Linked DNA regions of Coturnix japonica. The protein of the gene in region 2 purifies or fractionates together with the protein of the main gene of each other region. This does not show direct contact. Links are inferred from orthologs where the notes say so. Each region holds a gene or a part of one and is shown on either strand. Other genes may lie near its edges.

What was found.
Region 1: the proteins of KIFBP (region 2) and KIF14 purify together in Homo sapiens (affinity purification with mass spectrometry; 3 studies listed by BioGRID and IntAct, counting the BioPlex papers as one, with this or other methods). This does not show direct contact. The link is inferred for Coturnix japonica from reciprocal best matches to the Homo sapiens genes KIFBP and KIF14.

Annotation. Positions count from the first base shown.
Region 1 is NC_029523.1:1,368,090-1,371,589, forward strand, and holds part of KIF14 (kinesin-like protein KIF14), read left to right. Parts: coding exon 1-20; intron 21-626; coding exon 627-753; intron 754-1,350; coding exon 1,351-1,444; intron 1,445-2,324; coding exon 2,325-2,463; intron 2,464-3,363; coding exon 3,364-3,461; intron 3,462-3,500. UniProt on the Homo sapiens protein: Microtubule motor protein that binds to microtubules with high affinity through each tubulin heterodimer and has an ATPase activity. Plays a role in many processes like cell division, cytokinesis and also in cell proliferation and apoptosis.
Region 2 is NC_029521.1:8,806,042-8,810,048, reverse strand, and holds the start of KIFBP (KIF-binding protein), read right to left. Parts: upstream 2,801-4,007; 5' UTR 2,786-2,800; coding exon 2,342-2,785; intron 478-2,341; coding exon 379-477; intron 1-378. UniProt on the Homo sapiens protein: Activator of KIF1B plus-end-directed microtubule motor activity. Required for organization of axonal microtubules, and axonal outgrowth and maintenance during peripheral and central nervous system development.

The sequences.
Region 1 (3,500 bases), on a different chromosome or scaffold from region 2:
AAGCCCTAGCTACTAAGCAGGTATTTATAAAACGAAACAGAAGGGTTTCTAAGTGGCATAATTGTCTTTTAAATAAAACACTGTACTGTATTGTGAGAGAAATGATTTTTCTCAAGTATTTTCTCCTATGTGATACTATGCAAACAAATGCATTTTGTTTACTATCTGAATGTGCTATAGCATGCTGTTCGCAGATAAACTACTGCTGACATCATTATTCCTCTTGTAAGCCAGGCTATTTCGCTTACATACCAACAGCCACCATTGCTAGTGCCAAAAGTCCCAGCTCTTAAGAGTGAACGTAGTAATGGCTAATGGTCTTTTTTTTTTTTTACACTGGTATTCATGTATCTGACTTTAGAACAACTATTTCGTTGCTTTCTTTTTTTAATTCTGCTTATCTTTCATTTCTGTATTTCTTTTAAATATTTCAGTATCTAACCAAAACAAGAAAGCTGTCAAAGATGGAAGATGAAGGGTTTCATACTGATGGCAGATGTGGAAGATGCATTTCTTTCTGTAGTATAAATCCTTAAAATGTCAAAGGGAAGACTAAGTATAAACATAATTAAGCACTGTTGAGTTTTATGCTTTGTTTCTTTTTTTTTTTCCTCTGTCTTGCTCAGGCTCTGGAAGATCATACTATTCGTCATGCAAAAATACTTCAAGCTCTAGAAGATGAGAAACAGAAGATTGCTGAAGAAATTGAAAGCCTTCAGAAGAATCGTGGAAGTGGGAATAAAGCTATGAATAGTAAGTCTGTACTTAATGTTGCAGGAGCAGTGATTTCTCTTCTGCACAGCAGACTTGGATTTAATGTGTGTGGATCCAGAAGTTTTCTTCCTCTAATGCCTTTCTCACAAACATGAAAAAGAACAGTCTTAGGGCTGCTACAATCCTTTACTTTTATGGAAGTATGTATACCAGACCGTGCTAAAATCTCTGCTTTATCTCATTCAGGGTGGTTTGGTGGGTTCCCAGATAGTCAATATTTACCCCAGTTACTTTAAATTTCTTTCTCAGTCTGGCTGAACTAGTTAGGAGTTAATCCACTGGAGACACTGGAGTAACAGTTGCTTCTGTTTAGACTCCTATATCAGATTAGCTTAATTGATAGTATCTAAAGTTATGTTGTTACTTTTTATATACCCTTCCCTTTTTGTTTTTTTTTTTCTGAGTTATCTATCTAGGAAGCTATTTTTGCTTTCTCCTCCACTGTACTGAGAAAACGCAGTCCAGCTAAATAGTTAAATTCCATTCAAGATGCTGTGTGTAGTTTTCTTTTGCATTTTCAACCTTTAAGCTGTTGCATTACATAACTTGATCATTATGTATTTTACTCTTTATTAGCTGCTCTTAACTGGAATTCTTTGAAATTATCTGTGATGATCAAAGAGGCCAACACCATTAGTAATGAATTAAGGAAAAACACTGTTTTTAACAGGTAAGTGTCTGAGTGAGCTGACTTTAAGTGTATGTGGTGGGGATTCTAGAAGTACAATCAGCTATTTGTTTTTCTTTGAACAGATTTCTATTTAATTGAACGACAGATTATTTTTCCCATCTAGCTCTAGAGGAATGTGGAACTTAGTTGTGTTACTTTGAAATAAAGTTACGTTTACGTTAGGCGATTCATTTTGAATCCAGCATGCTTTGGGGGTGAATCAAATCTCATGATGCTTATGTCCATTGTGGTTTGGCTCATGTATCAGAGAGGTCCTAAAGCATATTAAATACATTACTTATTAGTGTGAAACTTCTGATCTTGAAGGTGTTTTTCAGTGGAAATGGCTCTAACTTTGAACAAAACTAAACCAGGATATATGTGCCCAGCCCCCATGATGTAGCCTTATAAACTTAATGCAATAGAGATAGTTCAAAGTGAAAACCTCAGAACATGCATGCACTGGATATTGAGGACTTGAGACCAGTTGTTCCTGTGTGATGGTTAATTGTCCTTGGCAGGAGCACAGATTCACTGCAGAGATTCTCCTGCTCTGTGTGTAAGTGGCTACAATAGTAGGGGTGATGAGTGGATGTGTTTTACTGTGGTTTTCAGATGTTTCTGGCAATAGAAGTCTGTAACACGTATTTGGTTCTGAGTTTCTTGAGAGCTAGGCATTATGGACTGCAAAGGTTTTGGTTTATTTCTCTTTTAAATATAAATTAATTTGAAACCGAAACTAATCTTTGTATTTTGTGGAAAACATGATGTTTTTGACAATTACTGGGCTTGTACTAAAAAGTTTGATCTCTGTATGATCTACCTACAAGTACTTTGTGTTTACTATAGCTTTTTATTTTTAATTTTCTCAAATTCTTAGGCATGAGAAAATCGATGATAGAACAGGATCGGTTTCTTCTGTTCAAGTGCAGGTTCGTAACCTGAAACTGGGTATAGCAACTTTCTGGAGCCTGGAGAAATTTGAAAGCAAACTAGCAGCGATGAAAGAACTCTATGAGGTTAGTAAGAACTTAAGGAAAAGAACTAACTGATGAGTAGTAACATTTTGTTGAAGATATTTCAATCATCAACATAATTGTATAAGGAGAATCTTGTTGGGTTGTTTTTTTTTGGTATGTGATCTTACAAACAAACAAAAAAACAACCACCCACACAAAAAATCCTCATCATACATATGTGTATATATGAGTATATTAGATATGTAAAATTTGTTGTATATATGGAGGTTTTTTCTGTATGTATATCAGGTATTAAAATCTTTCCTTGCCTTGTTTAAAAGGGAAAAAATATAACAAAGTAAATCCAGGAAAAAAAGTAAGAGAAAACCTTCCTTTACAATGCAATTCTGTGAAATGCAACAATTTCCAGTGGTAGAAGTGTATCGTGTTTATTACTAAAACCTGCTTGGATCTTGAAAACAGCAGAGAAGAGAATTCTATGTCATGCGCAAAAATATGGCTAAAACCATTACAAATGTATTTATTTTTGTATCTGCTTTTGTGTGAATTACATGCACAGAATTTTAACAGATGTCATAAGGAAAGAGTTGTGAACAGGCTTTTTACTTGGTATTCTTGTATCCTTTATCTCAAGATGCTGAATAGCAGTGTCTGTACCAAATGTCTCATGTTTCATTTTGCACTCTAAAAACTTGCATGTCAACCTTGCTGCCAGTTAGTTATTTTCTAAATTGTACATTTCCTAACAAAAAGAAAAACATGAAGGGGGGATTGGACTCAGTGGTCATGGAGGTTCCTTCCAGCCCTTACGATTCTGTGGTTCTGTGGTTAGATCTGCTGTTGTACAGCCGAATGTGATGTCTTCATCTGTATAGTATGCTTTATTATCTCCCTGTTTTTACTTAACCTTCCTTCTCTTCTGTTTCCTTTATTTCCCAGAGTAATGATAGCAATAAAGCTGCTGATGTATTTTATGACCCTGCTGATGAATGGGAACCTGACCTTTCAGATGCCTCAGTTTCTTCACTTTCCAGGAGGTGATCATTTGCAATTCCTTCACCCCTGCTTGAAACAAA
Region 2 (4,007 bases):
GTCAGAGAAAACCACGCAGATGTTACAGTTTGTTTTCCTTCTCGAACCAAAAGCAATTGCCTGACCTTCTAAAGCATTCCCATAATAAAAGTGGGATGATCTTAATCAGAAGCCAGATTCAGCACTGGAGTATCAATTCAAAGACCTTGTAATAAGGATCACTGTTTTCTGACACAAACTATTTTCTCAGATCCATGTTGGAATTATCAAGTGATCCTCCTACGCCTTCTATGCCAGTAAACAAACCACGCGGCTTTTCAGAAGCGACATCACAAAGCTCACAAACTCAAGTTGTTTTGTACGTTTTCTTCCACAATTATCAAAACTGTAAGTGGTGTATGAATGTAAGAGCTGCTGCCAGATTAATAAGCACCGTACCTCTTTCATGTACTGATTATACAAGGCTTCTGCAGATTCCAAGTAAGTCTGGCCAGTTTTAATTTCATCCCTTTCGGACCATAGGATACCTAGATTGTTCTGAAGTTAAAAGGGAAAAAAAAAGCAATTATTTTCCAATCAATTCCACTTACACTAAACATTTTCTCCATAGAATTTATTGGTCTTCAACCCTACGTATCTGCCTAATATAACTGATTCCAAAAGGCAAAAATTGTTCTCACCTACTTTATCACAAGCTGCTCAAAGAGGAGGGTTCTCACAGAGACAAGCATACAAAGTCACCTCACAAATGGCAATTTTCTGTGTTTACCCTGCTAAATTGTCCCTGGTGTGTTCATATAGAAAGGTTTCTGTACACAGTCTATTCTGCACCTGATTCAAGCAACCTTGAAATCATACAGATATAAGGAGAGTCAAGGACAAATAAATCTGTCACTGAGTCTTTGTGGAAAAACCTAATAGGGAAAAAGTGTGGAAGGAATGAATACCTGCACATTTTGACGAGGAAATTAAAAAGTGCTGTGGTGCAAAAGCCACAAACTTAAAGACAGTAGTGAATATCACAGCAAAGTGCATGGTAACGTCTCACTGCATCTACTCTTTACAAAAAACAACCCTAATGTTATTATTAAGTTGAAGGTGCTAATTGCAAACCCATGTTTAGTGGGCTAATTTAATTCCTAGCACGTGCTGTTACAAAATCTAACAGGACTGGAAACAAAAAACCTTCAGAAAGCTCTTACATGTAGCTGAATGCCAGCCTTGTAGACCTTTCGATTCCTTCTATTTTATTATATTTTAAGAGAAAGCCACACGTATCATGACAGCTATGAACAAAAACACTTTGCCCACAGCTGTGCAACAGAATTGACCAAATTTAATTAGCCAGAAATCATCACATGTATCCTTATGCAGAAAGGCAGAAAGGAGGAGGAGGAGGGCTATAGAAACAGGCCTGGTAGGAAAAGGAATGCTCCTCCTTGCCAAACAGGCATCAGTGAGGTGACAGTGTACTTTACAGCACTGGAGAGTACTCATGTAAAAGTACAGCCACTACTGGCTGCCACAATCTTGACGTTCAGTGTTGTGTTTTGGGTTTTTTGTTTGTTTGGTTTTTATTTAGATTCTCAAGTGTTACTTCCAGCACATCAGTAAAATTGCTGGGAAGAAATTATTTCCTTGGAGTGGCAGTGGGGTGCTGGGAATGCTGCCCAAAGCTGTGGGTGCCCCGTACCACAAATGGGCAGCCATTTGGGTCATTAGGGTTGGAAAAACTCTCAGCTCACCCAGCCCACCCCCTCAGTGCTACACCCCCACAGCTCTGCAACACCTCCAGGCATGGTGACTCCCCGCACCTCCCCAGCAGCCTGTACCACTGTATCACTGCTCTTTTGGAGTTTTTCCCTAATACTCAACACAAATCACCCCTGGTGCCAACTGAGGCAATCACCCCTCATCTTATCGCTGTTACCTGCTCTGAGGGTGACCTCCACCTCACTACAGCCTCTCCTTCTCAGGTAGAGCAGAAGAAGCCACCATCTGATCCACGCTTCACAGAAGCACACAGTCCCTTTGCAGCTTTACACTGTGTGGCTGTGAAGTACTCCAGAGCCCTTCCTAAATCACAGCAGCCATTTCTAAAAGGGACAACTGCTCTACATAAGTGAAAGTGTGTGTGTGTGTGTGTGTGTGTGCATGTAAGGGACGGGTTCCCACATAAACATCCAGAGGATGTGATCATGTTCTTCAGAATTTTCCTCTTACGTGTAAGATTAAAAACAAAAACATTCCCCAACTCCACTTGGGTAGCAAGTAAAAGCCAAGGCTGTGCAATAAGGTCTCAAACCAGCCCCCTACGGCTGTGCAGCCTCTCAGGCCTCACCTCCCCCAGCCCCGGGCCGTTCCTCAGCCCGTAGTCGACACCCCGCCCCCCCCCGCCCACCTGTGCCTGGATGTAGAGTGACACGCAGTCCCGGTTCAGTCGGTGCGGCTCGAGCAGCTGCGTGCAGCGCTGCAGATGTTCCTCTCCCGCCGACAGCTCCTCGGTGTCGGTGTGGTTGACGCCCAGCTCGAACTCCAGCACGGCCCGCCTCACGGCCAGCAGCCGCGGCTCGCTGCAATCCTCGGCGGCGCTCAGCTGCTGCTTCACCTCCTGCAGCAGCGCTCGGGCGCTGTACTTGGAGCGGTAGGGCTCCGTCTCCGGGTCCTTACGGGACTCCACGTCCGACAGCGTCTTGGCGTTGCGAAACTTCTCGCACGCCGCGGCCCACCAGCCGCCCGCCGCCGCCATCTTGTCGCCGCCGCCGCCGCCGTTCACCCGCCCCGCGTCACGCGAGCCCCGCCCCCCTCCCGCCGTCACGGCGACCCGCGAGACTTTGTGCAACATCAGACAGCGGCCGAGCGTCCAACGGCTGTTTAATGTGGTAAAAACACGGACAGTCCGCGCTCACTCGACGGCTGCCCCTGCCGGCCGGCCCTGCTGCCAGCCGCCGAACCTCCCGTTCTTCTTGAAGCCGCCAAAGCGCGGCTGCGGCCTGCGGCTCGAGTCCTGCGGCTGCTCCTCCAGCTCCGGCAGCTCCTTGGCCACCGCCAGCTGCCAGCGCCGCGTGTCCCGCCACTGCTCCTGAGACACAGACACCACACGTCAGCACTGCGAGTGGCACAGCACCAACACAGCACAGCACAGCCATGGAAAAAGAGGAAATAACCCAATGCTTCTGCCCATCTCTCAGTGCAGCATCCCTGTTACGTCACACACCCCATCCTCTAACCCACCCTGAACAAAATCCCAGGTAAGACCATATATCCCACTTCACATAACACAACTGTTCCAACTGTAATGTACCTGTATGTTATTCAGCTCATCCATGGGGATATCGAAGCACACCCCCTGTAACAACAGGTAAATAAATAAATAAATAAAGTGGTATTTTCTTTCCACAAATATATCCCAGGACACAAAACTGAACACACACACACACACAAACCAACACCGCCACCCCTCCTTCCCAAAGGACGGGCTGTCTTACCATCTTCCCCTTGAGGAAACGCATGGCAGATATCTTGCTGTCTATTTCCTCGCCAAGCTGCTCCTTCAGCCCTCTCCAGGCGTAGCTCATGGAACGCATCTCTATAGAGCACTGTAACACCATAGTCACAAAGCCCTTTGGGAGTAACAGAGAAATACACTTGTAAGAGGAAACTGAACTTGCTTGGACAGCCTATAGCTTATAGGAAGTAAGGTGCTTCCTGAAAAAGGTAAACTACAACAGCAAGAGCCAGCCTATCAGACTGTAAGGATTCCTTAATTAGGCTCTTCTGTAGCATCAAAGACTTGAGTTATTTAGATGTCCAGCACAATTACTTGGTGTCTCATTGCAAGAAAACGTGCTGACTGTTACCAAGTCTCTCTAGTTTCCCACAGCATGCCAGTAAGTGCGGAGTTCCATTAAAGAACATTAAACTAGAATGAGCTAACAGTTCTAAGAAATCATACTCAAAGGTCCTGAAGAGAAGGTACTAAAATGCCACACTTGCACAGAATTCAAGCAATCCTTTTATCTGTTCTTGTTAAAGCAGTTATAATGTTATTTACCGCAGCTGAGTTG